2 linked regions of the Arabidopsis thaliana genome follow. The protein of the gene in region 2 interacts with the protein of the main gene of each other region in a pairwise test. Each region holds a gene or a part of one and is shown on either strand. Other genes may lie near its edges.

Evidence for each region.
Region 1: the proteins of KINESIN-12B (region 2) and FU interact in a two-hybrid assay, tested with the Arabidopsis thaliana proteins (one study listed by BioGRID).

The regions. Positions count from the first base shown.
Region 1 is NC_003070.9:18,599,378-18,613,402, reverse strand, and holds the start of FU (kinase family with ARM repeat domain-containing protein), read right to left. Parts: upstream 6,893-14,025; 5' UTR 6,587-6,892; intron 6,367-6,586; 5' UTR 6,341-6,366; coding exon 6,251-6,340; intron 6,166-6,250; coding exon 6,091-6,165; intron 5,996-6,090; coding exon 5,903-5,995; intron 5,798-5,902; coding exon 5,723-5,797; intron 5,646-5,722; coding exon 5,553-5,645; intron 5,148-5,552; coding exon 5,084-5,147; intron 4,996-5,083; coding exon 4,911-4,995; intron 4,727-4,910; coding exon 4,654-4,726; intron 4,581-4,653; coding exon 4,512-4,580; intron 4,405-4,511; coding exon 4,324-4,404; intron 4,167-4,323; coding exon 4,094-4,166; intron 4,010-4,093; coding exon 3,857-4,009; intron 3,345-3,856; coding exon 3,209-3,344; intron 3,007-3,208; coding exon 2,835-3,006; intron 2,701-2,834; coding exon 2,599-2,700; intron 2,525-2,598; coding exon 2,030-2,524; intron 1,885-2,029; coding exon 745-1,884; intron 604-744; coding exon 370-603; intron 260-369; and 3 more. Other genes in the region: AT1G50220 (B3 domain protein), read left to right, coding at 8,828-8,932, 9,013-9,134, 10,061-10,445. UniProt on the Arabidopsis thaliana protein: Plays a role in conventional modes of cytokinesis in meristems and during male gametogenesis but also acts in nonconventional modes of cytokinesis (cellularization) during female gametogenesis.
Region 2 is NC_003074.8:8,512,023-8,529,197, reverse strand, and holds KINESIN-12B (phragmoplast-associated kinesin-related protein), read right to left. Parts: upstream 10,063-17,175; 5' UTR 9,909-10,062; coding exon 9,615-9,908; intron 9,379-9,614; coding exon 9,244-9,378; intron 9,146-9,243; coding exon 9,062-9,145; intron 8,977-9,061; coding exon 8,851-8,976; intron 8,766-8,850; coding exon 8,706-8,765; intron 8,609-8,705; coding exon 8,555-8,608; intron 8,467-8,554; coding exon 8,374-8,466; intron 8,069-8,373; coding exon 7,973-8,068; intron 7,820-7,972; coding exon 7,674-7,819; intron 7,493-7,673; coding exon 7,343-7,492; intron 7,255-7,342; coding exon 7,125-7,254; intron 7,052-7,124; coding exon 5,840-7,051; intron 5,756-5,839; coding exon 5,657-5,755; intron 5,567-5,656; coding exon 5,414-5,566; intron 5,338-5,413; coding exon 4,534-5,337; intron 4,449-4,533; coding exon 4,143-4,448; 3' UTR 3,909-4,142; downstream 1-3,908. Other genes in the region: AT3G23690 (basic helix-loop-helix (bHLH) DNA-binding superfamily protein), read left to right, coding at 46-142, 228-265; AT3G23685 (F-box associated ubiquitination effector family protein), read right to left, coding at 881-1,129, 1,216-1,959; AT3G23680 (F-box associated ubiquitination effector family protein), read left to right, coding at 2,025-2,137, 2,238-2,832; AT3G23660 (Sec23/Sec24 protein transport family protein), read left to right, coding at 11,469-12,203, 12,288-12,461, 12,546-12,707, 13,182-13,324, 13,497-13,572, 13,685-13,854, 13,985-14,066, 14,180-14,285 and 5 more. UniProt on the Arabidopsis thaliana protein: Plus-end directed kinesin-like motor enzyme that plays a critical role in the organization of phragmoplast microtubules during cytokinesis.

The sequences.
Region 1 (14,025 bases), on a different chromosome or scaffold from region 2:
CGATGATTTGATGTTCCGCCTGCACATAGTAACCACGCAGACCATGTAAGAAAGAACAGTCTGTTATGAAAAGTTTGACCTCTCATAGTAAAAGAAGCTTAGTGCTGTAACTTACAAGAGCGCTGTAGAAATATCCATTGTGTCTGCACATATTGCCAAGAGCACTACAAGCTTTTGCACGTATATTTGGATCCACATGGGTAAGATATTCTTTCAAAGGCTGTAAAACAGAAGCCTCGCCGATGTATTTATAAAAAGCCTGTACGGTTAACAATTGTTCCAAATTAGATAACATCATTTACTTCACTGTACTGTGTCTAAGCATAGGTAACAAAAAGAATGCATCGTACGTAATTATAAAACGCTTACCTTATCCATCCTCGATAGATCAGATATGATCATCAAAATATCAAGTATGACTTCTCTTGGACTTGATTGGTTGAGTAATTTTTTCATTCTATTAGGATCTAACAGACCTTTGCTCACGAGATCTACAGCAAGACGTGGACGACCCACCATTTTGGCAAGAAAAGCAACGGGCCTTACTAAATCTTTTAATTCCAAATGATCCAAGCAACGTAGGATTAAACTCGGCACTCCCACCTGAAAAAAAAATTTAAAAAATACAGCTTGTAACAATAACGAGATTTCAGCTCATGAATCATGAGAGGAAAACAAATAGATACCAATCAACATTCAAACAAAAGTATGTAAAAATCAAGGAAACAGAATCGACGAACTAACCTCCAGGAGGACTATTATGTATTTGTCCATATCCTCTTCTATAGCTTTTAGCAAATCTCTATCTTCCATGCATACTCTCACACCAGGAGAGCCAATGTTGAGAATGAATCCACTATTTACAGAAGCTGTGGCAGATAACGAACCTGGTTGACTTTGCAGAGCAACAAAAGGAAATGCTAGGAGATCAATTATCACATTTATTGTCTCTCTGACCCCATCTTTTCCTCCCCCCGGACCTCCCCAGCTCTTTACTAGCTTGATATGAGCATCAGATAGTAAACAAGTAATTAGCTTCATGGTTTCGATTTTCACAAGAACCTGACGGAAAGTTGTGCCACCCGAAAGACAGTGGCATATGGACGAAATAGTCCATACAACGCCAATAGGGGACAAGCCAATCCGGTTGGATGTCTTCTTGATGTCCTCTGGGGAAGCATTTGAAAGTTTGCCAGCTAACAGATTTATGAGAAGCAATGGCGTACCACTAGCAATAAGCTGCTGCACAGCTAGAGGTCCACCCCACTTCAATCTGGATTCTAATAAACCGATACATCCATCCAGAAGTCCGTGCCATTTGGCATAATTGGCAGAATGAGAGATGACTTCACCTTCATTACTTGGCATAGGCCTAAGATGATAACAAAGCTTAGTAGCTCGAGGAATCAGAGACACCACTAGCTCAGAGACAGAAGATCCAGCAGAAGATCCTTTTTCAAGAGCGAGAATAGATGCGAGAGCAAGCATAGCTGAAGCAGAGTGATTCTGAAGAGAAGCTTCGATTTTATCATCTGAGGCAATGTGATTGGCTATAGCAGAAAGACGATGTTGATGCTTCTTTGGAGAAGTTGTAAGCATTAACAGAACAGAATTTCTCCCAGTTAACTTCAAACATTGAGCAACTGTTGCCAACATAAGGCATGAATGGAACACCAGATTGTTTAGTCTGCCCTCGAAGTTATCTTTTTCTCCTGTTTGCTGGTCTTTGCTTGATAATGTTGCGTATGATAGTATAGAAAATATTTCTGAAATAACTGTACCATCCTCTCCACCACTGACTACGGTCGTAATAGGCAGTGAACTGGGAAGACCACAAAGCATGCTAGGCAGAATTCCATTATGAAGGCAGCATCTTGACAAGAGCTGGAGCATTACATAAGTAGTTTCCAGTTAAGTTTAAAGAGCGGAAAAAAAAAAACACAAATTCAATTATAGCTGTGAATCCAGAGACAACCCACAAATTTTTTGTTAAGATAGCCACAAAAGAAGAGAAGCATCACATAATCACCTGAATTGCAGAAACCAATGGAGCCTCCACTCGTTGGTGAAGGCAATGACCAACAGCAACTTGCACATGCTTTGATCGGAGATATGCTCTTGTCACTGTATCGACAAGTTTCTCAGATAACGGACCCCACTCACTGTTTCCTATGTCATGCTGAGAGAGACGGTTCTGCAAGGCATCTAGAGGTAATATGTTTACATCATCGTTCTTGAAGAATGTTTCGGAAGTATCTATGAGAATCCATATTGCTCGACAAGCTTCACAGGCAGCTGCTAACATTTGCGAAGAGCCGGAAGTTAAACTCGACCCAGAAGAAGCCAGACAAAGACACAAATGATCAACTATGCGAGACATGTTAGCATGCTCCAAAATCTGTTTAGAAACAGAATCAGGAGTTGAAGATTTAAGATCTTGGGCAACTCGAGATAACATTGTTGTGATGCAAGAACAGGCCTCATATATAATTCTACCAGTTCCCTCTTCTTCCCATCTAACGACCTACATCCACATAAAGTAAAAAATTAGTACATGTGGTTTAATCTCACAAGAGACTTATGCGCCAAAAAAGTCACCTGTATGAAGATTTCCACTACTTTGGTCCAGTGCCTGATGTAAGAACTATGTATGTTATTGCCTTCAACATGCCCTACCAAGTTTTTAGTGACTGAAAGACTCTGATAAAGAAATAAGTCGGTGTTACAAATCATTGAACTTTCTTTACTTGTTAATTGTGGAAAGCAGGCTGACTATCAAATAAAGTAGGTATCTAATCCAACACATGACAGACATTTTGGTCAAGAGGATTCACCTTTGGTATTATGTTGTTGAACTCGGGTGATTTCATCCCAACAAGAGCGTCAGTAAAGTCTAGCAGTGCACATGTTATTTTCTCAATCAGTCCAACTGAAACTATGGCACGAGTTGCAACCAAATTGGAGATGATCCTGAGGGACTGAACAGAGCAAGCAACATCTTTGTCCCTGCACACCCATGAACGAAAATATGAATATGCATGTATGCGGAAATATACAACAATTTACTGGAAGAGAGTAATAGATCATAAAACCAGAAAGTTGCAACCGTGTTTTAGAGTCTATCTTATGTAAGAAACCTATTTCTGTTCCCGTTTGTATGATCAAGTAGGAGCACAACATTATATAATAAAAGAACTCCAAATTTTACCTTTTAGAATCTGGCGATTTTGAAAATCTTTCCAGTGACAGCAAAACAAGGTCCAATGCTTTATCATTTTCACCTATAACTTGTGCACCTTTAACAGTGCGGGATGTATTTTCCAATTTGTCCAGTGTTGGGTTACCTGAAACGGGGAAAACAACCCAAGCATGAATGAGAATGATATATAGGTCCATTATGAAAGAAAGCAAAAGAAACTCCGAAGGCAGCTAAGGTTCAATCACGGATAGCAAAATGTATGTGAATATTCCGACACTAATCTTTTAAGACATGAAAATTTACAAAAGGAGAACTGGGTTTATATATGAAATATACAAAACCTGAAGTTCAAAAAAAAAAAAATCCTTATGTCATAGGAGTTGTGTTAATCTAAACAAACATCAAGCATAGCATGACAGCGTAGTAAAACTCAAGCTCTAAGAGTTGTAAACCTAGAACAATAGAGCATACTAACTACACGCTTTGATGAAGGAGAAAAATGCATTTGGTCATAACCAACAATGAAAGGATGATATCCGAATATATGTCTGTTAGATTGATATGGAAATCATCATCAGAAATATATCTAAACATGCATTTCTCAAATTACTGTATCTATCTGTTGGATAACTCTTTTGATTCTCAAAGTCCCACTACCTGAACTTTTTATCTCCTCTTGGGTTGGGAATCCCACAAAATCCTCAGTGGGTGGAGAATTTACTTTGACAGCACTCTTCATATCTGACTGAACGTCAGCTAGACCTTTTGTAGCAGACATGTCCTCAACCAGGGTCACTGAGTCGCACTTTTCTGTGACATTTAACACTATAAATTTAATAAAGGAGAAAATTAATTAAGAAATAGATTCTAACCACACACTGAAGAGATTCAAACCATTTCTCTGTTGCCCTCCATTTCCTTTGAGCATCCAAGCTGCCTTATTGTCAACTACTGCAGTATGGATTTCCTGAATAGGCGTTCAAAATGTTCTTAGTGATCTATTATTCCAACAACATGTTTTAATTTGAGATCCGTTACATTGCATGAAAAAGACAGTTTTAACAAAATGCTCTGTACATTGGACTCAAGCTGCAAAGTATAAGTCATCAATATCAGACCATTACCCTGGCTTCAACTTCTTCTTGTGTTTCTTTAACGAAAGGGTGCTCACGAAGAGCAGGCCAGGTTAATCGACTGTGGGGTTCCTGTTTCGCATAGTAATAGAAAAACAGTTTAACCCAGTCCAGCAATGGTCTCAAACATATCAATAAATGGTAAAAAGGACAACTTAAAGAAAAAATAAATATATCACCTTGTTGAGCAATCCTTTCAAAAAGCTTTCGAAATAAGTACTCATTTCATCAGGATATTTGACAGGATCCTTGAAGATTCACTAAAACGTTAGCTCATACTTTAAGCATAGACTATGGAAAAATAAAAAAATATTGATATACCTTAACAATGTGACGAATGAGAGCATACACAGAATTGGTGTAGAAGGGAGGCTGACCTACATATAACTCGTACCTGATGTATTACAAGAGATTAATTAGAACCATATCAAGTGCATTGAAATGTGGATAACATAAAGAATACAGAAAACAAAAAACTATGAAAGAAAAGCCATCAGAATCATCACATTTATAGATGTAATAGCTTTCATAACAATAACAATTGAAGTACGACAACTCAGATGAGTTTCTCCACCTACAATATAACACCAAGAGACCACAGGTCGACAGTGCGATCGTATGGCTGTTCTTTCACAAGCTCTGGTGCCATGTACAGCGGAGTGCCTGATGTGATATTTTGGATTAATAACAAGGAGAGACTTATTGATTTATTCACTCATTAATACGTCTAAGGAAATTAAAGATCTTTAACCTTTAATGGATCGCAAAACCACAGTGTTGGTGGACATAGCTCGAGCAAAACCAAAATCACATAGCTGAAAAATCAAAGGGGAGACAAGTTAGTTGATGGCAAAGAGAAGTTAAAGAAATCATATAATCAAGCCGCATTGAAAATACTTATGTTTCTACTTATATTTAGCTAAGTGTATGAGATTCCTGGCTAGCCGTATCCTCTTCTAGTACTCACATGATTAACTTAGTTTTCTGAAATAATCATAGACGGAAAGATCCATGGTTCATAAATCAATTTTCAAGAAGTTAGCACGTAATCTGGTACTCATAAGAAGAGGAAAAAAGTAGAAGAATCGTATTGTAACGATAATTCTCTCCTAAATTTTATCTTTAAGAAACAAGAATATGAACAACTCATGTGTGTGGGAAGCATAGAAACAGCATTTCAAACTTAATTACTGGAAGCAGCAAAAGGAATGTTATATTACCTTAACGACAGAGCCAGCACCAATAAGAATGTTTTGTGGCTTCATGTCACGGTGAATTATACGGTTGGAATGCAAGTAATCTAATGCTTTTACCTGGATTTTAAAGAAGTTTCAAAATTGTCTTAATAATCAGATATAGAAATAAGAGCCATGTTGGCAAAACGTGTTACCAATTGCTTTGCGATTGCTTGAACTTGCTCTTCGGGAAGGCACTTGTCATCTTCAAGAATCTCAAACAATTCACCCTGTAAAATTGGGTGTTCCATGGTGATTCTTTATTTCATATAAGTCTAGCTATATGCTTCATAAATCAGTACTTTAGATTCTACAATCTACAGTGAGAAAAGTACTTGGGCAAACTCAGTGACGACACAGAACTCTCGTGCGTTTTCAAAGGAGTCGAGCATTTCAATGATATTCTCATGCTTGAGCTTCCGCAATATCTGAGGCATAAAAGAAATAATGTTGGTCAAATACCATAAAATTGATTGGGATTAAAGTTGATGGTAAGTGCAATTAAGGACTGAAACTTGCTAACCTCGATTTCTTGCCTTAGACTATGTATATCCTTGTCAGTCTTTCCTTGTTTCATGATGAACTTCATCGCCACCGTCTGATAAAAATTACCAAATTAAGAATTGATTAGCTGATTTTAAGTAGCCGATGATAACAAAGAGAACAACCCAGCAACAATTTACCTGGCCGGTATACTTGCGTCTTCCTTTGTAAACCCTCCCAAAAGATCCTTCACCGACAAGCTCTATCACATGATAATCCTCGACACCCATATCTGAACACGATTGGCTTTTTTTATCTGTCAAATAAAGCACCGTTTTAGCTTCAAACGGTAAAATGACGGTACCCAGACCCAAATAAGCAGAATTGAGGGAGAGTCTACTATATTCAGTCTAATTCGATTAAAAGCTAGTTTCTAAACTAGGGTTCCGTTCCGATTTCTTGTTTAGCATAAGCAAAAAGTAGCGAATCGAAAAACTGGAAACATCCAAATTAAGCTTGAAATGCAGATCCTAAACCTGATTGGCGAGTAAACGGGGAAATCGAAGATTTGAGATAGTAAAGAAGAATATTGAACCGTGGCTCACGAAAATGCGTAAAATAGGCGAAGTGGTGGCTGCCGGAGATGGTAGAACTGGGAAGTCGGCGACGAGAAACAGCGGAGGAGGTCTTCGGCGGTGAAACTAGGAGAGATCCGTTGGATCGATGGTTGAAGAGAGAGATAAACTCTGCGTTTGGATATTCTCGGAAACTTTTGAAATTCAAAAAGAGGGAAAAATCTTTGAGTCAGAGTAGTGTGTACTCTCTCTCTCTCTCTCTCAAACCTTATAAAAAAGTAAAAACAAACCACAAGTCGTAATTTCCGGTTTATTTTAAAAACAAAAGAACTCAAAAATATAAATTATTTATCATTTTCCAAATTGGTTCCTAAAATATTATTTTGATTATAAATAAAATATTGTTTCCACTGTTCCACATAAATCACCGATTATTATTCATAACATTAAAAAAAAACTTATAACTAATATTATAATAATTAACGTCAATTTCAAATTATGAAACAAACTATATATTTTCTAATCGTTTCAAAGTGACACCTAGCAATATCTATACAAACGTTTTAAGAAATGATACTAACAAAAAGAAATGATGTTAAGTGGGTGATTGGTTCGTCGGTATGTAGTTATAGATTTATTACTATAAAATTTTTGATGTAGGTGTGATGACTGTAGTCGTAGGGTTTATTGTTGTAAAAATTAGGATGTATATTTTATTGATATAATATAATTATTTAAATAAATTAGTTGTAGAAATAAGATTTTGATAGTATGTATTTTAAATAAAAAAATATTATTGGTAAATTATACTTTATATAATATTATTCCCAATTATCAATGTGAGTTATATATGTCATAAAGTAGGTATTTACCTACTATTTATATCCATATAACTAAATTTAATATATATATATATATAAAATATAGTAATATTTTTAAAGAAAATAAAAAAATAAAGTGAAAAAAAAAATAAAAAAAATATAGACCTTCTAAAAATCTTAAAGTTATGCTGTAGAAAAACTTGCACTTACAGCCAAAATAATTAAAATATATATATAAATATATAGTATTTGGGGTGTGAGAAAAAAATAGGAAAGTTAAAACATGATTGTTTCAATATTGATTGTAGGTTTTTTAGTGGCTTTATAAATCTTTTACATCCCAACCAATCATGTTCTAAGATTGAATTATAGTGTCATTTGAAAAAATGATACTAAATATTTTTTACCTTCACTAGTTTTAGTATCTCTTTTTAAAATGACTCTATAATTCGAGCATCATTTTAAAAATGATATTAAGATTTTTTTTTAAACTGATGTTAAACTCATCAATTTTGTAGTGATATCATTAAGAAATCTTAAGCAAAAGGAAATGGTTTCAAATTCACAATAAAATAAGCAAATTTATATATCTTTAAAAGATGACGAAACGTTAACGTCCATCAACCGAACAGTTAATTTATGTTTGCTACTATTCGTTTATTTAATTTAATTTAAATTTTAATTAAATTTATTATTTATTTCTTATTTACGATTAATTAAAAATGACTAATATGATAATAATTTATGGATACGGTAGTTTATACATTTACCCGTGCATGATATATATCAAACGATTGTAAAACTTCCCAACCGCCAAAATCATACTTGCTTGCACACGAAAGCATATTGCAGACGTCTTCTCTGCTATATGCGTCCGCGTTTGCTTTAGGCTTGAAGAAGAAATGCAAAGCACGTGCATGTAAACCCCCACCTCCAAGTAAAATTTTTAATTTGTTTCGGTTACTGTTTCTCTCAAAGATGTAACACCTAAATTGATTCAACAAGGGTTTTAATAGGTTTGATCCGATGTTTAATGTTTTTAAAGTCTCTGTTCGAGATTCTTCTTTTGGTGAGAAAGTGGCTACACTTTGGATTGATATAATAAAGATGAGCATATATAGCCTCCAAAATTTTGTAGGCATTTCAGAAATTTTTCGGATCATAGGAGGAACATGTATGTACCTTTTAAGTCTCATCATTAATAATTCTGTGTTTCATATTTTTACTGTGAAAATGAGAATGACTAACGATTTTATTTATCTGATTTTGGCATTAATTAACTTATTCAAATTGCTTTTCAGTTTTCATTGTGACATTAGTTCTTTATGATCTTATCATATGTTTTTTTTTTCTTTGTTCAGGACCAAACCATTACGTGATAATGAAGATAAAGCATTGGGACCGGTGGCTAGCATCTTTAAAAGACGACGATTACCTCAAGAATATTGAAGCTATCAAACTTTATCTAGCCGTCATGTCAATATATGTAAGTTCATTATATATAACTTGTCATAGAAATGGCGTAACAAAAGTTCCGGAAATCACTGTTTATTTGTTTGTTTGCAGGAGCCGGATTTGTTGGATGAATATATGATTGATGATGATTTCCATCCCATGATCTCTCGTCTCAAAAATGTAACTTTAGATGTAACCTCGGCTAGGTTTAAGGAACTATACATTACTGAGAGGTAAGAAATTCTCAGCTTATTATATTCTCGATTCGCTAGAACAATTCAGGATTTAACTTAGCCTCGAGTGAATATTAGGCAATCCGTTTGATTACCATCTGATTTCAGGATTTAACTTAGTCTCGAGTGAATAGCAGAGAAGACTTCTTCAATCGAACATTAGGCAATCCGTTTGACGAACATTAGATTATATGATTTTTGACTTTTTCGCTTGTAATTTGATTTACTAGTTCCTTATAATTAAGAAAACACTTATGGTGGCTTCTAAGGAATTAGTGTTATGTGTTTTAGCCAATTAGAACTAAAAACCATAATTTACATAAACTTTTAATGAAACTAAGAGATTTTGCATGGCCAGTAGTACAACTTCCAAGGATCTGGTGGTAGTTACCTCTTAAAAGAAACTTCTACTCTTTCTGCCATATGACTGCGAGATGTATCAATGTACTCAATGTTCTTCTCCGAAGTTAAGAAGTTAATGATTCGATGGATCCGATAGATTTACCCAAATCTTTTCCAAAATTATTGTAATCTTGTTTTTACCTTTTTTTTGTCAAGATTACATTTGTTTTAGGTACTCCAATATGTAAGTCCGAACTTTCATTTATATGAATATTAACATTTTAGCAAAAAATGTTAAGAAAATCTGAGCTTCATTTTGATGCCTTGAATCAATAACTTTCTTTCCAAGTTACAATGCCCTCTTGCCATTTTCCGTTTCGGGAGTATTAAGGAAATTATTAAACAATCTCCTTTTTTCCGATAAGAAAAATTTCTATTTTGTTAACGGAAGAATTGGAGTCCTTTTCTCTTGTATTTTCCTTTCTTCTTGGGTTAAGCCTCCTATAAATATGTTTACATCTAAGAACACGAAATATAAACAAATTTTCTTTCTACTTGCAAAAGATCTAGGGTTAAAATTTTAGCAAGATGAATTATGCTAGAGATGAACTAGACGGGGCTATGATCATATCAAAGACTCTAACAAAGAGTGACATTGTTGGTAATGTGGCATTACCAAAAGCGCAAGTGATGTCTGTCCTCACGAGGATGAATGGTGTCACAGATGAGGGTTTGGACAACGGTTTTGAAGTGCAAGTCCACGACATAATGGAAGACGATCTGTACACAGTTACCCTGAAAAGAATTGACGACATGAAGTATTATTTCGGGACTGGTTGGAGTACTATGAAGCATTCATTAGATCTCGTAGAAGGCGATGTTCAGAAGCTCTATTGGGATCAGTTTGAAAACAAATTCATTGTTCTCAATTTTCAGCATAAGACTATGGGAATAATGATTCCTGTGTAGCTTGCTTACATCTATCTTCCTATATTTAGTTGCTTTAATTACTTATGTTTTCGTTTTCATATTTTAATTAAGTGTTGGTTTTTTGTTTGACCTAATTTTTATGTTGTAGTTGTTAAATCTAATTTAATTGAAATATCTTGAATTTCAAGAGAGCAAGCTGCATAGCTGTTTCTTTTGTTATATTTCTTGTCATCTCTTATAATTACAAAAAAAAAAAAGTAACATTGAATCGAGTAAAATATATCACAATCTCAAAAACATTGAATCGAGTAAAATATACACTGAATCTCAAAAATATATAGGATTGAAACCTTTTTCTTCTTAGATCACACAATACGAGTAATCATGAAAGCACCAACGTTAGTGTGAGAGGGAAATAAGTTTTGACTGATCGAGTTGTTGGTTCTACACATGTGACTTGTGTAGGGAATTACGGTAATTCAATTACCAGAATTTTTTCATTGGTAGAAAGCTTTTGATGCGTTGGTGTGTTGAATATGGCGTTTTGATAGAAATAGAACTTTATTTCCTCTCTTTCTTCTCTCTCAGGTTTATACTTATTGGTTCAGATAGACCAGAGGAAAGGTTTTGCTTAACACACAAGAAAACCTATGTCAGAGAATTCCAAGCATCTTTCTCCCCCAGATATCATGCACAATGAGGCATATATTCCTTTTCAAGAGCCGCAACTCCTCTCCAAGCTGTACATGTTCGTCCCGCAAGTTGAGTATTCTCTGATTCTCATCATTGTAGCTGAGATTCAGAAAATCTCTTACCAAACATGTCTCCGTCTACAGTCTTGAGAAACATATCCCAAGCAAACCTATCGAAAATGACACCTTACTTTTTGGTGATGGAAAATCTGTTTGGCGAAAATATAAATCATTCATCAACTTGGACGTTATCTTCACGGAACTTCCTGCTTAACTCGGAGCTTGAATTATTCATCCATTCAAATCGTTGCATGTTTTATTGTATCAATTGATGGTGTTTTTTAAAGTTCTTTTTAATTTGTTTGATGAGAACATAACAGATTATTTGTTTAGTTTATATAGAGGTGAGTATTTAGAATTCTTTTTCTTTTAGGATTAATAATTAATTGTAAAATTAATTCTTTATTGTATTTTATATAATAAAATGGTATATTTTTTAAATCCATTATTCATATTCTAGTTTAAGTGTTCGGTTTTTTCTTTCTATTACCCTAATTTCTGTTGTAGTTTTTATTTAATTGGAATACCTTGAATTTCAAGAAAGCATGCATAGAATGTTTTTGTTTTTTTTTGCTTGTGTCGTCTCTTACTATTGCAACATATGCAATTAGCATGTTCTTACTTCCATTGCTACTAACTCCATTTGAAACATATGATTTGATGTTCTCATATACTCTTTGCCACTCGTTCCATGTACTTATCATTGCCAGAAATCCTCCAAGAACTGTTATAGCTAGAGGTAAACCTCCACACCTTACAATTATCTGCTTCCCAATCTCCTCCATTTTCTTAACCAACATTGGCTCTGCATATCAGGTGAATAAGTGTGTCAAGTATGATAGTATATATGCTGCAGAAAGATTAGAGCCTAATGATTACCTATATTTTCTCTTCCAGATAATGAAATTTTCTCCAACAGCTCCCAACTCTCTTCACATGTTAGCTTCAATTGTTGCTCATGAAGCACACCCCTGGGATCAGCATATAAAGCGACCAATGCTGCATATTGAGGTTAGCTTCTCTTTTGTTCTCAAGTTTGTCACCATTGTAAATGAGCAGCTGGAAAAGAAACAACTCTTAAGGGATATGCGGTACGCAGTTGCTGCAACTAGGGAGTTACTTCCGTCGTTGATGAACGACTACTAGTTTTCTGTGTCCAAATACTTTTCTGAATCAGTTCATCCGAGATCTTTTTTCCTTCTGTAAAAATAATAATATTTTTTCTTCTTTTTTTGCAGATTTCTTCTTATATCACAAGTATTCTCTATGGCTAGTCTCTTATTATATGCATCTATTTTGTCTACTGAAGACATAACTTGCAACATTTCTTGGAGTTTTTGGTCTTGATCAAGTATGTTTTTTCTGCCTCTCTGTGATTGAAACTGTGTTCTTTGAAAACTGGACTCAGATTGATTTTAGATGTGAATGACTCTAATCGAATTAGTACTGGTTCTTGTTGATGTATCTGACTTTCATTTTTAACTTTTTATTTCTTACAGGTTCATCCAGTTATCATCTGTAGCTGGATATGTGAAGTGTCTTCTTGCGAACTTATGTCTTAACTTTGAAATACTTTGAATAACGATGATAATTTGGAGTAATGATGGTAATTTGATCAAATTGTGTTTGGCTTTTTGGTGTGTCCATTTGCAGAGATATATTGCTTTTTAATAACGAGAAAAATGTTATTTAATACCCTAATTTTCAAATTATAACCGTTTTATACGTCAACTTTATATATGGTCATTTTAAACATGATGTTATCGTTGACCACCATTTAAACCATGAATATTTCGTTGACCAGGCCAAAAAAAATAGTCGTTAACGGATTATTCAACTCCCGTTAACACCTCCGTTAACCATTCTAAACGATGTCGTTTTCGTTACTATAAATCATGTTTTACCCTTTTATAAGCTTTTAAAATCCCTTGTAAATCATTCCAATGCCACTTACTTATGCTTAAAAAAACATTGTAAACCATGCTAGCCCTTTTTAAAAATCCTTGTAAATCATTTTATGCCACTTACTTATGCTTTAAAAACGATGATAAATCATGTTTTACCTTTTTATAAGCTTTTAAAATCCCTTGTAAATCATTCAATGCCACTTACTTATGCTTTAAAAACGATTGTAAATCATGTTTTACCCTTTTATAAGCTTTTAAAATCCCTTGTAAATCATTCAATGCCACTTACTTATGCTTTAAAAACGATTGTAAATCATGTTTTACCCTTTTATAAGCTTTTAAAATCCCTTGTAAATCATTCAATGCCACTTACTTATGCTTAAAAAACGATTGTAAACCATGCTAACCTTTTTTAAATCCCTTGTAAATCATTTTATGCCACTTACTTATGCTTTAAAACGATTGTAAATCATGTTTTACCCTTTTATAAGTTTTCAAAATCCCTTGTAAATCATTCAATGCCACTTACTTATGCTTAAAAAACGATTGTAAATCTTGTAAAACTATTGTAAAAAGTTTTAAAATGATTTACAAAGGTTTAAAAAGGGGTTTTAAAGTATTTACCTATGTTTTTAAAGACTTTATAAAGATTTTAAGAGGTTTTAAAATGATTTACAAGGGTTTTTAGCAATTACCAAAGATTTTAAAAAACTTTACAAGGTTTTTTAAAAGAGTTTTTAAAAAATTTACAAGGATTTTTAAAAGCATTTTTTTTGCTGGGAAACAAAATTTACGAGAAAAAATTTTGGCGGGAAATTTATTTTTGGCGGGATTTTTTTTTTTTTGGCGGGAAAAAAAGGTTTGGAGGTGTTCTTCAATGAATAGGGGTGCTTGATGAGGCTTGTATTAAATGGTAGAAGTCCATGGAGAAATCGAAGTGTTCAAAATCGGAGGTGTTCT
Region 2 (17,175 bases):
TGCGTATCGTAAACTCGATCCTTTTATGTTTTTGATTCATTATAGACACCAGGATTCTGGGAAAATAATGACCTGCAAAGCATTGTTCAGATGGGTTTTGGAGATATCCTCCAGCAACAGAGCAACAACAACAACAACAACTGTAAGAAAAATTAGAAGCAAATTCGTCTATCGAAATTATAGAACTATCTCTTATGTTGTTAAAGTCTCGTATCTTTATGTTGCAGGTTCTGAGCCAACGCTTCAGATGAAGCTTGAACCATAGTCCATAGCTATGATTATTATCTCTGTTGTACATACAGAAAACCAAGTAGTGATGAGTAACGGAGTGAATCATATTGGAATTTTAATGTTTACAATCGTTGCTTCTTTGCTTGTGTCTCTGTTGATTTCTTCTCAACCTTAAACAAAAAAAAAACAAGAAAACTTCAGATTAAGTATGTAAAAATATGACAAGAACTTTTCTCTGTACTGTTTTACAATCGTTATGTATTATGATTGCTCTAAGCTTGTAAGAAACAGGAATAAATTTGTTCACTTCTTTATATTCTTTTCACATTTTCTTACGAAACAAGATTGAGAGTACGAGTGGTTGATTACAGAAGTTCTCTCTTTCGATTCGTATACGTTCCCAATTGACTTCATGAGACTCTAATATTGCATTTTAAGGTACACTAAGCTAAGTTCCAGAAGAAAAAGATTGAGCGACTAGCTCATTATCGATGAAGAAAGATAAGAATGAACCATGAACATGATCTTAATCTTCAGTTTCATTAACTCAAGACTTGAAATAAAAGCTCTGTTTCTGCGTAATAATAGAGTAATATCATCTCGTTGGCTCCTTTTTCCTTCCTCCTATCAAAGCTCATTGATTTGTCGCTTAGAGTGAGACAAGCCTCAACATGTTTTCATCATATCGACACTTTTCTAAATCGCTTTGTTGTTTCGATTCCCCTCCTTCAGGTTGCTTGATTTGTACTAAACTTGGAACATAAGAGCACAGATCAGTCCTACATTCTTGGTCTCCAAAATCTCCAACGAGATCCAATCCCCTCAAGTATCCAGCCTCTCCAATGACAATAACTCTCTCGCGGTTACGTCCATCAAAACCAAAGGCGACTTTCTTCTCCTCGTCAATGAAGAAACTTTCACTTATAAAGGAACATAACTATTAAATCCAGCTGTTGCCACTCTCAAGAACTTGCTCCACAAAACCTCTCCAGTCTCAATCTTGGTCGTAATCCATAAGTCAAGCTCATATGGATTTGATTCATCGTGCTGAAGTAAAACCGCAAGCTTCTCTTCTCTAACACAAGATAACGTCATACAGTCAATATGCCCACCACTAAACGGCAGAGGCAGAAGCGGACCAAATCTCTCACTTGTAAAATCAAAACAGATTAAGCGATCGGCCAAGACTTCATCGACATCTACGTTCCTTTCTGCAGCACACCAGTACGTGCTTCCCTTAAGAGAAACGCCACGGTTACAAAACGCTATACGCCAATGCGGAGTGACATCAAGAGTAGTCCATAAATCAGAGTCAAAATCGTAGATTCCATACCAAAAGAATTGCTTCTCGTGTGCATTGTAGTAATAATCTATCAACCCCAACAACTTGTAGTAACAACAAGAATCCGTATTCACGTATCCAAGAGCGTAAGAGAACCTATCCCATCCGTGTGGACGATGGGAATATCTTGGTTCGATCCACCTTGTTTGCTCCAAATACGGATTACAAACCACAAACCTAGAATCATCTTTTAAAATGCATAGCAGTAAGCCCTCGCAGTGATAGAACTGAGATATCTTGACTTGTTCGTCAAGGCAAGGAAGTTTTCCTTTATGCTCTATAGATGGATCTCCATTGAGAATAATACTCGTTAAAGAAAGATTGTTACCCATCATCACGATCATCTGAGACTCACCTTCCTTTGCTGCGGCTTGACCAATGTGCATCTTCATAAAGCTCTGACTTTTGGATAAATCGTTCCACTTTTTGCAAGTTAATCGTATACGTGAATATGTGCAGGTTCTCTTACGCTCTTGGATACGTGAATACGGATTCTTGTCGTAACTACAAGTTGTTGAGGTTGATAGATTATTACTACAATGCACACGAGAAGCAATTCTTTTGGTATGAAATCTACGATTTTGACTCTGATTTGTGGACTACTCTTGATGTCACTCCACATTGCGTATAGCGTTTTGTAACAGTGGCGTTCTCTTAAGGGAAGCACGTACTGGTGTGCTGCAAAAAGGAACGTAGATGTAAATGAAGTCTTTGCTAATCGCTTAATCTGTTTTGATTTTACAAGTGAGAGATTTGGTCCTCTTCTGCCTCTGCCGTTTAGTGGTGGGCATATTGACTGTATGACGTTATCTTGTGTTAGAGAAGAGAAGCTTGCGGTTTTACTTCAGCACGATGAATCAAATCCATATGAGCTTGACTTATCGATTACGACCAAGATTGAGACTGGAGAGGTGTTGTGGAGCAAGTTCTTGAGAGTGGAAACAGCTGGATTTGATAGTTATGTTCCTATTATAAATGGAAGTTTCTTCATTGACGAGGAGAAGAAAGTCGCCATTGGTTTTGAAGATGGGAATCGCCACACAATTAACATCATTGGAGAGGCTGGATACTTGAGGGCATTGGATCTCGTTGGAGATTATGGAGACCAAAGATGTAAGACAGATCTGTGCTCTTATGTTCCAAGTTTAGTGCAAATCAAGCAACCTGAAGGAGGGGAAAGGGAAGAAGAAAGCGAATTGGAGAAGCTTCGATATGATGAAAACATGTCGAGACTTGTCTTACTTGAAACGAATCCATGAGAGCAACATGCATGAGGAGATAACAAGATGATTAAGACTCCAATTTATAATTCCTTATGTAATGTCTTTCATTTACTTATTCTTTTCTTTGAACAAGATTACTCTACTATCATAAAATTTGAAGAAGATTTGCTAAGATGTTTAATGACAAAACATAGTAACAAAGAAATCTATTTCTGTTTCTTATATGTACAACAAATGATATATTGGCTGCGATCACTTAAGGGATTCAGAAGTTCAATATAGAATGGATTGTAGAAGTAGTCACATATTTGAAGAATCTAGGAAACAGAACAATGAAAGGAAAAATAAAGGGACCTTAGTCTTAGCTTGTATTGGTCTTGGCTTTTTTCTAAGCAAAACTCTACTCTTTAAGTCCTTTCTTCAGATCCCGTGATTCGATGATTGGATCATGCGTATTCTCTAGTTCGTCTATAGTATTTTCATACGAATGAACTGTAAAGCGAGGAGTTGTGCCGTTAAGAACAAATCAAACTGTAAAATGAGTTAGTAGCACTTAATATAAGAAATACATCTTTCAGATTCCTTATCTCTATTTATGTGATCAATCAAAGTCTCTTACAGGAATCTAATAAAGACATCTTTGAAATGAGAGATGGACAAATACAAATTATGTATGAATTGTAAAGTGAGTTTGTAACGCAAAAGGAGAAAACGAGATGATTAAGACTCAATTTACAATGCCTAATGTATGTCTTTCATTTACTCATTCTTCTCTTTGAACATTATTACTCTTCTTTCATAAACCTGTTTTCTTTCCAGCTTAATGTGCATCATGATGAAGATTTGCTAAGATGTTTTAAAATAAAAATTAGTAACAATGAAATCTATTTCTTTTCTCATATGTACAACAAATGATGTACAGTGTTCAATAGTTATATGATTTACAGAGTTGATTGTACAAGTAGTCACATTGATGCCAACGAGTTATTCGCATAGATTGCGTAGAATGTTCAGAGAAGGTTTTACTCATTATGATGTTGACGGTGACGATCGAGGAGAGTTGTGCCGTTGAGAACAAATCAAACTGTAAAATGAGTTTGTACAACATAACATAAGAAACACATCTTCCAGATTCTTTATCTCTACTAATCTCTTACAGGGAATCAAACAAAGACCTCTTTCAGATGAGAGATGGACGAGTACAAAAAAATGTTTAATTGTAACACATTAGAAATACAATGAAAAGAGTACAAGCTTCAGATATATCTCACAGAATCGGATCAGACCCCAACATGTCTTTTTTTTCCTATTACACATTACAGAAAAATAATGTTGTGGAAACGAAATTATATGTTGCATCGGTCATACCCCGAGAACCAAGAGGGTTCAGCGAGCTTTGACAACTCTTCGTCTTTCTTGTAAAATGGTTGGAATTCTTCTCTCCATTGGTTATCACCATCACTAGCTGATGGTTCATCATATTTGGCCATAGCATCGTCATTACAAGAAGCTTGCAAAGATTCTATGGGATTTTGTGGCTCTGCATTATGTTGTTGGTTTACAGTGCTGATTTCGGTTTCGTATTTCCTCTTCAACTTGTCCACCTTTTTATATGCTTCTGATGCTTCATACTCTGCATCCATTGCTCGTTTCTGTGAATACACAAGCCAGAAAGTTTAAGTAAGAGTCACATGATAGGATATGGGTGAGATTTTAGAAATATAACTATAATAGTACCTGTGCAAATGTCAATCCTTCTTCAGCTTCTTTAAATCGAACAAGTAACTCTCCTGCTGCTTGAACAGCTTCAGCAGTATCTCTTAGTTGTGACTGGAGACTCTTGTTTTCATCCCTGAAGTATCGTACCTCCTTCTCTCTTTGCACCTTCAAAGCTGAAATTTCTGCTGCAAGTGCGTTTATGAATCTAGACTCAGCTCCCTTGACTCCGGCTCTTGCTGCTGCTTTTTTGACATCATCTATTCCTTCTCGAATCCTCCTATGCCTTGCAAGCAATTGGATATGCTTCTCTTCCAGGTCTGCATATTGTTCAATCATCCGTGCATGACCCTGCATTGCCATTTGCATTGCTTCTGTCAACTCTTCAGCACATCTTTTCTCTGTATCCAATTCACGTTTCTGCTTTTCCATTAGCAATCTATTGGTATCAAGCTCAGTTCTTAATTCCTCAGCAAGAGAGATCCAGTTGCTCTCTGCTTCAGTCCAACGAAGTCTTTCCTGTTCTAGTGTCTTCTCAGGACCCTCGTCCACTGACTCAGGAATGGTATTAAGTTGTGGAGCTTGGTTAGGATCACAAGCGTATGTCAGCTTAAGCAAGGAACCTCTTCTCCGAGCAGATGTAAGAGAAGAGTCAGTGTAACATTGTAGCTGTGCCTTTAAATCGTGAATCTCTTCTAATAATACTTCCCTTTCTCCCATGTCACCATAGAAGTTCTTGAAACTTTCGAGCTCTTCTTGCACTCGTTTCAACTCAATCCTCGTCTGCAATACTTCGGGGTGGTTCTCATACATGTCCTTCAGAAGCTGCACAATTATATGTAAGAAAACATATCTGCATTGATTCAATAAACTTCTAAATAATGGTAACCCAAAAATTTACCTTATGCTCATGCATGAGTGATGCAAATTCTTCATCCAGAAAATCATCTTTAGATAACACGCCATCCATGAGACTTTCAAGGCGAACAATCTTGTCCTCCCTTGTTTGTCCTATGATAGCATTGCACTCTCTCTCATGCTTGTACTGTTGCACCTGTTTAATTTTCCAGAGATAATTAGAAAGGTTTCCTTTATATGTAAAAAGTAGAGAAGCTGACCAACAGAACATAAGCAAGAATCATACCAGCCGATTAAGCTGTGATATTTCAGAGGCTTGCTTAGTGCAGAACTCTTCCATAGCCATTTCTCTTCTGATTGACCCTGCTAGAACCTTTTCCACTGCCTGTAAGGTGCAGAAAAATCATATCATACTATTACACTATACAAATGCGGAACGAAATGCTCTAAAGAAAGCCACAATTCTTACTTTAGGAACTTGGAAATTAGACTTTTCTGAACCTTCTGAATTGTCAATAGGTACCAACTGAAGATTAGAAGTGTCACTTATTTCTTGGGCATCACATTCTGCCCTGCATTTACATCTACTGCACAGTACTTCTTTAGAGTTGTCTTCCGCTATTTCATCAGCTTGGGGATAAGTTTGAACACCTACATCAGCCTTACTTAAAACGGTCGAGGGTTTGCATTCTAGAGCTTTGTAGGACAATCTGAATGTCGATCGTCTAAGAGCTGTACTCTGGCGATATGAGTCAAGAAGTTTCATGCCTCTGTGGAGGCTAGCTGCCAATTGCCTAGTTGGCACAGGAAAAGCTTCACTTTTCTTTGTAGACAAAGCACTATATAGGTTTAACACCTCTGTGGACATAGCTGGCGACGGTTCCACAACTTCTGGAGTTAACTGGTTGGCTCTCTCAATATCTTTTTGTGATGCGGTGGACATTGATGTTGTTCTCAAGCTTTTCCTGCTATTTCTAATCTTAGGAGAGGCGCTCTCAGTGGGAGGTATTAGTACAGGAGAAACACTTACTGGAGCGACGCTAAGGCAAGGCGACACAGGATTTACTGAGACCTGTTCTGTATTATTTGATGTATCAGCTACTGATACAATTGCAGAAACATCAGCTTCTATAACCAAGTCTTGGCATGATGGAATGTTCTCCGCCTTGCTTGGTGAATTTCCCTGGTTTGTGTCGCTAATACAAGAATGAAGAGAATTTGTTATGGAATCAGGCTGTACACTAGAACCATCATCCATAGTTTCTGCCACAGTTAACGCATTATCAGTCTCTGACCCATTGTTCTCAGTTTGGCAACACGCATCCTCCATGTTAACATCTGTAGCTTCTGATGATTTAAGGTGGGAGTTATTGTAAGATTCATCCTTCAGGACCACAGTCTGTAATGATGAATTTATTTTTTCTACTCTGCTCATCTCCTGATTGTTGTCCTCGGCAGGTGGAGACAAGCCCATTTGAGCACAAAGCCTTTCAACAGCCTCCTCATCAATTTCCATCTCAGTATCACCATCATCATCTCCATTTGGTAATGACTTTGGATGACCCAGGCCAAAGCTTCTTAACAAACTCAGACTTCTACGCGCATTCCAGGAAGTGGTATAAGCTGCATTTGGGTTGGTTGGGTTGTTTCCTTTATCATCCTTCACCCTTTGCAGTTCATCCTGCACAGTTTACATTAGATATTATATTCAACTTTGTATTTACATTTTCTGAGATAATCCAAAGAGTGCATACCCTCAGCTGGCGTATCACTTCCCGCAAGAAATTTACATCATCTTGCATTACTTCATTGACAATTGCCTTATTCTGTATCGCCTTAGCACGCTGAGCAAATCTCAAGGTGCTGAAGGTTTCACTCCTACAACTGCAATTTATGATGCAATTTCATTTTGCAGAAAAGTGGAGGGAGGGTGGAATAATTTCTGAAAGAGAAATTTGGGTTCTCGGTTTACCTTTGCGAGGGAGAAACTGCACAAACCATAGCTAATTTTGCATTCCCTCCTAGAGACTCTTGTAATAGAAATGTCAACCTGGAATCTCTGTAGGGTATATGCCTTTGCTTCCCTGTTTGTGAAATTTCTGCTAGAATGTTGATCAAATTCCTGCAAGTAAAAACACTTGTAAGTTTTACATTTATCTACGATTCTCAGTTTCAGACTATAGCATCACATCTGTAAAATGTCAAGATAAAACATCCGGCACAGAAAATCCAGATTCAAATGCATGCTATACAAAAGAAAATCAATAAGCAGCCTATCTATATGTAGACTATTCTGATCTTACCCAAGTTGGGAAAGTGATCGATTTATATTCCCAGCTTCCTTCAAACGATCGCCTGCTGCACCGGTTAACTTTTGCCTTTCTGAACCAGCCAGATCAACAAGATTGATTCTACTTGTTTTGAAGCTGCTTAGACCGTCTGCAACACTCTGTTACATATTACATTCAAATATAGTCAGATATAGATTGACATCACCTCATAATAATTGCTAGACTAGTAAGCATCTGAGCCTCATAGCCTATTCTTAAAACTTGCAGTTGCCAGTTAAATAGGCACAATAAAATAAAGGAGAACAACCCACCTTGCAGTGGGACTCGACAACACAAGTGAATACACAGTGCGACCTTGAACTTTCTGCGTTTACACTTGTTGCACCAGTCCTTCTGTTTGCCAATCCCTGCACCAGTTTCAGATGTAAGCATTACTATTGAAGATACTCATGTCAAAGCAAAGCAACAAAATAGCTCAGATTGACTATTGCAAGACTTTGACACTTCTTTGGCGATATAAAGATCTTTTAAGTCCAATACACAGTATTACCAAGTCCTGTAGTGTGACCTCTTTTTCTTATAACAAACCAAAGTTGTGCACCCATCTTTTAAAAGTTAAGGAGAAATGCAATGGAAACACAAGTGTACGTACGTTTGAGCAATTACTCTACTGTCAAAGTAGAAAAGCATGAAATATAATGATATAACAAACCTTAACCAGAAGCTTTGACAAATCCTTCAAGTTTTTCACGTATTCCTCAGTCAGATTTTCAACATAAACACCGGACTTGACATCTTCTCTAATCTGGTGCAATATTAATTAAAAATGATGAACCCAGGTTCTTTTTCCTTAAAAAATGTAAAAACAAGTTGAAATTGCAAGTTCCTTTTACCATCAGGTTTTTTAGGCTCGGATCCAAAAGATCTGTTATTTGCTCGTTGTATATCTGCAATAAAAGATGGGAAAGGGAACCATGTATATCAAGCTTTGATAAATGAAAACATCATAAGCACAAAAACTAAAGTTGAATCCACTCATTAAACCTCGAGAAACGAACAGCGGCACTGGTACTTTAGCTGCCTTTCAGCATGCTTTGCTTGCTCCTGCAAACAAAAAAAATCAACTTTTGAATGTTCTGCCTCTCTCACATAATGAAACAGACTGAAAGGAAACAACACGAAGCATCACCTCACTGAGACGGGCGAAGAGCAATTCAAAGACACGTGGAGTCAAACCTCTTTGGTCACCACTAAGGTGCTCTTCCAACAATCCATTTGCAGGACCCCACATGGTATACGTTTTCCCACTGCCAGTCTGGTGAAAACAAATGTTAGAATTACAATCATCTTGAGAAATTGAAATTCAATCCCGTAGAAACAGATTGAGAAATGATGACTACCTGTCCATAGGCAAAAACAGAACTGTTAAATCCAGCAAGACAGTTCTCAACAAGAGGGGCTCCAACAAGCTGAAAGATCTCATCCTGCAAAGAATACAAAAAAGATAAAGACTTGTTAGCCTATATAAATCATAAGATAACATTGTATAGTGAAACCCCAATCATGAAAACTAAATGCCTGCCTGTGTTGACTCCGGGTCAGCAATCGAATCGAATGTGAAAGTCTGTTCATTAATAGTGAGGGCGTCGTTGGAGATCTTTTTTACTATCATCTCCTCTTCCTCACCTTTGCTTGGAGGCTTCATTCTTACTATAACCTACATATGCCCAAAGACTTAGAGATTAGCTTAAACTTTACTCAGAAAACATAATATAGTTTCTCTTCAATTTAGTAACTATAAACTTCTAAAAATACAAGCAATCATCTTCATTTTGTTAATTTATAGAAATCTGGAACTTAATTAGACCAATTAATCCAAGACATTAGGATTTTTCCTTCGAACATTCTCCAATTTCTGAGCAAGAAAAACAAAAAATAAAAAGCTCAGACTACCTTGACACCAGAGTCTGAAACCCCAATCGCTACTCCATTATCCGCCGTAGCTTCCGCAATCAGCTTCCGTTTAAGAGGATTAGACGACGGAGGACGCGGAGGCAATGGACTTTTCAATTTCGCCGGAGAAGATCTATGATCAGGAATCAACGAGTTCAGATCCGGAGGTGGAGCATTCTCTTTAGAAGATTTAATCTTCCTTTGTGACTTCGATTTCGTCAAGCTAGGGTTTGGCGATTGTGACTCTCCGATATCACGCAAGATAGCGTTCCTTGGCATCATGAAATGCTTCATCTCTCTGCGCTAACCAATTCGAAGATTCCCTAAAGAAGAATTAAATCTGCTTCTGCAACAGTCAGTGTTTCGGGCAAAGTAACGAAGAAGAAGGGAAGAGAGAGAGAGAGTTTGAGAGTTTGAGAGAGAGCCGTTAATGGCGAGAATTTTGAATTTCTAGATCGAGAACGCATTCACATGTTTATTCATCTATTCTCCGTTGATCGTGAGATGATAGATCTAACGGATAAGATCAAATTAGGGCCCATGATTTTGTTCGACCGTTTGAGTTATTTATTCTTAGGATATTTTTATCCCACGTGGCACGTGAGGTTTTAGATTGTGTTGGGTTGGGCTTATAAACGAAGCCCAATGAAGGTAAACTCCAAATTTAAACAGTCGATTCAAATCATGGTTATTGTGTTGTATTACAATAATAACCATAATTTTGTAGACTACAAAAATATATCACTTTAATTCATAATTGTATTGAAATCATGGTTATTATGTTGAAATCATGCGAGGCTCGCTCATGATTCAAATAATCCTTGACTTAGCGGGTGACGTATTCGGTTGCTGTGTACTCAAAAGAGTCATATCAATAGCTGAAGATCGCTTCAAAGGTTACTTCCTTGACCTAATCGCAAAGAACGCTCTCTTATTAGGAAGTTCATTGATCCAACATGTGCTTAAGCTCGATTTTACACGAAAAATCACACATGACCACACTTGCACGAGATAATGGCTAAGTTTGATGACATTCTCTCGCGTTCCAACATAGTAGAGCTCCATAGGATTGCCTCCAAGTTGGCATCAGATTCTGATCTTTTTATCGACTTTACCAAAACCATGCGAGGCTCACTCATGCATGATTCAAATAATCCTAGGAAAATCAGAAGAAGTCGACACAACATTCTTGGAAGCAATTAAGCAAAGGCTCACCGATATTAGAACCGATAAATTCGGTTATCTCATCGTGTTATATTTCATACAAGTTTTCAAGAAAAGAAGACCTTATTCTCAAGTGAAGTATGAAATCCAAAAACTAAATCTCTCTCCCTTTCAAAGGAAACACTGGGAAGTGGGAAACACATTGGTCCAACGAGCGTATTACGGACACCATCGCATGTATGCTTCAATGGCATTGCATCGAGCTTTCGTATCATAAACATGGGAGAAACGTTGTGGAGAAGCTTCTCGGTGACGGTAAGTCGGTGGTGGCTTTGGGGATCTTCTCGAAGGAGATTGTGAAGTGTGATGAAGATAAGTTGGTGAAACTGGCTAAAGATGATCATGGGAGCAAAGTTTTGAAAAATTATTTTAGAAAAAAAAAACTCAAGTTTGAGCTTAGGAATACAAATCAGTAATTAGACTTACCATTTCAATTTCTACGATCTCAGTTCGATCCTAACTAAAATGAAATGAGTATAGACACACAAAAATAGAAATATTTGATACTCAGTCAACGTTAGAGTTCCTAAAAAATAACGCCAAAGAATTTTGAGATTTTTCAATTTCTTCATTAAGGAAAAAAAAAAAAAAAACTCAAATTCTCTGATCTGATCTAAAAGCTTCCAACGAATGGCGGAGACTGCGAATACAGATCTAGAAGGAATCGATGGAGTTCGTATGACATGGAACGTCTGGCCTCATTCCAAAGCTGAAGCTAGCAAATGCGTGATCCCACTCGCCGCTTGCATTTCTCCGATCCGGCGACATGCCGATATCCCTACTCTTCCTTACGCACCGCTCCGATGCCGGACTTGTTCCGCTGCGTTAAACGCTTACGCACAAGTCGATTTCACCGCAAAGCTTTGGATCTGTCCGTTTTGTTATCAGCGTAATCATTTCCCGCCTCATTATCATGTGATCTCTGAGACTAATCTTCCTGGTGAGCTTTATCCTCAGTACACTACTGTTGAATACACTCTTCCTCCGCCTGTAGCCAACGGGGAAGGTCTGGTGGATCCGCCGGTGTTTGTGTTTGTTCTTGATACTTGTATGATTGAAGAAGAATTGGATTTTGCTAAATCGGCGCTTAAACAAGCGATTGGGTTGCTTCCGGAGAATGCTTTGGTTGGATTTGTGTCGTTTGGTACTCAGGCTCATGTACATGAATTGGGATTCTCTGAGATGTCTAAAGTTTTTGTTTTTAAAGGAGATAAAGAGATTTCGAAAGATCAGATTTTGGATCAGTTGGGGCTTGGTGGTTCTTCTAGGAGAGGAGGTTCTAAAGGACCTCAAAATGGCTTCCCGAGTTCTGGTTTGAATAGATTCTTGTTGCCTGCTTCCGAGTGCGAATTCACACTCAACTCGGTGAGTGACTTTGCTTTTGATTGTCAAGTCGGAAAATTTTCATCTGATTCTTCTATCTTTGTGTGAATGATGTTTGGTATGTAGCTTTTGGATGAGCTACAAAGTGATCAGTGGCCTGTTAAGCCAGGTCATCGGTCCCAACGATGTACAGGCGTGGCATTGAGTGTAGCTGCAGGATTGCTTGGAGCTTGCTTGCCTGGAACTGGGGCTAGAATTGTAGCTTTGATCGGAGGTCCATGTACGGAAGGCCCTGGAACGGTAAGTATATGTTGATGATTGTTGGCATTGTGAGCTTTGATCACACCATGTGTATGAAGCATATTTGTAATCTCTTTTGTACAGATTGTCTCAAAGGATTTGTCGGATCCTGTGCGTTCTCACAAAGATTTAGATAAAGATGCCGCTCCGTACTATAAGAAGGCTGTCAAGTTTTATGATAGCATCGCAAAGCAACTAGTCACTCAGGGTCATGTTCTAGACCTTTTTGCTTCTGCACTTGATCAGGTATTACTGCGACGTAATTATAAATCGTTGGTGCGCAAGGCTCTGAATTAGTTCTTCAAGTTTGGTTGTGCAGTTCAATTTGCATTAGTTGCAACGCCTGGATTCTAAATCTTTTGTGTAGTACTTTTTTGTCTATAAAATGAATGCATCTTTTATTGTTGTCTCTGAAGTGTGGCCTTGATATGCAATGGGATTTACTAAACTGTTGGTCAATATAAACAAAAAAAATGTGAAGCCTCCCACTTGTCCTCAATTTTGTTAACTAGCCTGTGATAAATAGTCTATGAAATCTAGGCCATAATCGTTAAACCCCTTCATTTTCCTGTTTTTGATGATGTTTTCCTCTACAGTGTTTCTTCCAGTAGTTGTCTTTAGTCAACATAAGGCATTGCTTGTTGTAGCTTGTCGTGCTGTCAACTATTATTGGATATCTAATTATAATTATTTCCGCTGTTGCATTTTGGATATAGTTAGGTTGGTGTTGCTGAGATGAAAGTTGCAGTTGAAAGAACTGGTGGCCTTGTTGTTCTGTCTGAAAGTTTTGGCCATTCTGTTTTCAAAGATTCCTTCAAGCGAGTATTTGAAGATGGCGATCAGGCTCTTGGCCTCTGCTTTAAGTAAGTTTCTACTTTGTTTATGCATCACTCTCTTTGATAAATCTATTACATAGTAAAGAAAATTTTGGCAATGTGATAACCTTTCCTTCGAAGCATCATACACTTCAAGCTTGTATTTAAGAATTTAAATTATGTGCTTACATCAAACTGACCTTGAATCGTTTATTTCTAGTGGGACGCTTGAGATCTGTTGTTCACAGGACATCAAAATTCAAGGGGCTATTGGGCCATGCTCATCATTAGAGAAGGTTAAACATGAAGATCCACTTCTCTCAAAAATGCATTGATAGTGATTTGTGAGATGAACAAAGCTATCTGTTCTTAATCAAATTAAATTTTATTTTATTTTGATCCTTTCAGAAAGGTGCTAGTGTTGCTGACACGGTTATCGGAGAGGGGAATACTTCTGCTTGGAGGTTGTGTGGCCTTGATAAAACTACGTGTTTGACGATATTTTTTGACATATCTTCAAGCGGGTCAAATACTCCTGGAGCTGCGAATCCACAGTTTTATTTGCAGTTTCTCACAAGGTACTTTGGGCAGTGTTTCAGTCTTGAATTTTATTTGTTTTTTAGTTTCACCTGAACTGTGCCTTTCTGCAGTACATTGTGGGCATCATAGTCCGAAGTATCATATTTACTGTTGTTTATTTGATTGCAGTTATCAAAACCCTGAAGGTCAAACATTGCTCCGGGTTACTACTGTATGCAGACAGTGGATAGACAGTGCTGTGAGTTCAGAGGTTCGTCCTCATTTAGCTATAACCATCAAAAATGCAATGCAGGATTCTTATAGCCTAAAAGCTTCTTAGTGATTTTAAGCATTTTATATTACTGGTGGTTATTTACTTTTCAGGAACTTGTGCAAGGCTTTGACCAAGAAACTGCTGCTGTGGTCATGGCTAGATTAGCTTCTTTGAAAATGGAGTCAGAGGTACGTCACAGTAGAAAACTTCAGTTTGGTAGTTGCTATATTGTATTCTTGTGGAGGGAGTAAGCTCTTAATGCTGGAAATGTTTTCAAATATGTGTCTTTCCTTGGGAATAATACTCAACAGGAGTCCCTAGGATTTCAAATGCTTATCTATTTATACAGAAGAGATTCAAAGTTTATTGTTCACACAGCTGTATATTAGTCATATGAACTTGGAGGATCCAAATTGTGTCTTGGAAAATACTGCAGGGACTAGTTAACTAGGGTTTATCACTAAGTCATGTCTATATATACAATTCATCATATTTTATCCACAGGAGGGATTTGATGCTACTCGCTGGTTAGATCGGAATCTCATTCGTCTTTGTTCAAAATTTGGAGACTATAGAAAGGATGATCCAGCCTCCTTCACGCTGAATCCCTATTTTTCGTTATTTCCTCAATTTATATTTAATCTGCGGCGATCGCAGTTTGTTCAGGTACCACTACTTTTACATTTCATGGTTTGTGTTCATCATATCATTAGCTTAGTATCCTGTTTTTTTTTTTTTCCGGGGTTGTGATGGTGGCAGGTATTTAACAATAGCCCTGATGAAACCGCATATTTCTGCATGTTACTAAACCGGGAGAATATTTCGAATGCAACTGTCATGATCCAACCGTCGTTAACAACATATTCATTCAATTCACCAGCTGAACCAGCTTTGCTAGATGTGGCTTCCATTGCAGCCGATCGAATTCTTTTATTAGATGCATATTTTAGCGTTGTTGTCTTCCATGGAATGACTATAGCACAATGGCGAAATATGGGTTATCATCATCAGCCTGAACACCAGGTACTAATAACTAGCTGTTTTCGTGATGCGGAACCATCTCATTGTAGTTGAATGATTATCTACATATAATCTTCCATTGACTATAACTTTTTTTGTGATAGGCTTTTGCTGAGTTATTGCAAGCTCCTCAAGAGGATTCCCAGATGATAGTCCGGGAACGTTTCCCTGTCCCAAGATTAGTTGTCTGTGATCAGCATGGCTCGCAGGTCATTAATCTTATCTATTTGTTTTCATGTAATTGTCAGCTTCAATTTTGTTTGTACATCTCATTGGATTCAAATGGGAAAATGCAGGCAAGGTTTTTATTGGCGAAGCTGAATCCATCAGCGACGTACAACAATGCAAACGAGATGTCTACAGGGTCAGATGTGATATTCACAGACGACGTGAGCCTTCAAGTCTTCTTTGAGCATCTCCAGAAGCTGGTTGTGCAGTCTTGAGTAGTCCATTTGTTTCTTTACTTTACATTAAATTAAACTTCACTGTACACGATTTTTTTTTTATCATCTTACTTTCATCTACTATCATTATTTTGTTTTTTCTTTGATAAATTTTCTGTAACATCATTACTTTTCTGTTTTTGTTTCAAGGACTTAAATATACAAAGTGAGAAGAGATGAAATCTTGATTCCAAGAGAGAAAAGTTAAGAAAAGCTTCACTACACAAACTTCTTTCAGTAGAAAGATATTACACTATGATCTTTATCTTAAAAACCTAGCTTTGATTCTTATTTTCCAAATGAGTTTGCTCAGATGTCTCATGCATACTACACCACCACAAACAAACTTAAAATATTGAAGTTAATTCATCTACAAGGGAGGCGCTCACAAAAACATTTATATTTGTTAAAATATATGGAGTTTTTATTTTCTCATATAGAGATGGAGCTTCAGAGTCAAGTACTACCTCAGCTGTACCTTCATCATATAGAGATAAAGCTCTAGAATCAAGTTTTATCTCAGCTGAAAGTGTCCTCAGCTTTTGATCTCGAGCAGCTAAAAGATGTGTGAGGTCAACCTAGAAAGCATTATAATGAATTTAACTCTACCAAGAGTATTAAGCTATTTGATATTATAAAGGAAACCAGAGCCAATCCTCACCTGAGGAGTATTGGTGCACATAACATGAAAGCACACAACATTTTATCAATATCAAAAAGCACCAAAAGTACTATGTCAAAACTACTGGTCTCAAATTGGTAATAAAAATTTAGTTCCACATTAACATATAATACTCATTAGGCCTGGACATTCCGATTTCTCATCCGATTTGGTTTGGATTTATTTTGGATCGGATAACTGAGGTAGAAAAATTTATTATTTGTTCGGGTTTATGACCATCCAGTTTAGTTTCGAATCGGTTTTAGGAAAAAAATAAAACTTAAAAATTTGTTCATTACTAATCAAAATTGGTTTAATTTTTATAAAATTTGGTTAAATTAAGTAAAAAATGTATGATTTTGGATATTTTTGTTATTTGGTATTAAATTATAATTAATATTTTAGATATATAATTATATTTTGAGTTTTCGGATATACTTTCGCTTTTTGGTTGGGATATTCAATTGGAGAATTCTTTATCTGTTAGGATTTTATAACTGTTTGGTTTCGGAACCAGATTTTTCGAATCAGTTTCTGAATTTTGGATTTTATGCCAAGCCCTAAATGTCATATTTTAATTCAAGTATTTTGAATGTTTTTAGAAAATTTTAGAACTTTTTTTAAAAATGGATGAATACAATTATATTTGAGTATTCAATGTAGAATGCAAATTATTTTTTAATTACCTAATTAAACATGTAAACTGGATATTCCTAGTAGTGATCAATCGATTCATACTTTTTATGGGATCAAATAATTTATCTTGATCCAAAAAGATAATTTATTTATAGTTACCCAAAAAGATGTAATAATTTGGATCGGATATGGATAGAACCGGGTAAAAAAAATAGCAGACCTGAAGTAAAATTTAAGCACAAGAAAATAAAGTAGACCATTTTCAGACACAAAACACAGTAAAATAATTGATCTCTAACTAAAGGATAAATAAATTTTCGTATACTTCATTTTTGAAATGCTTTGC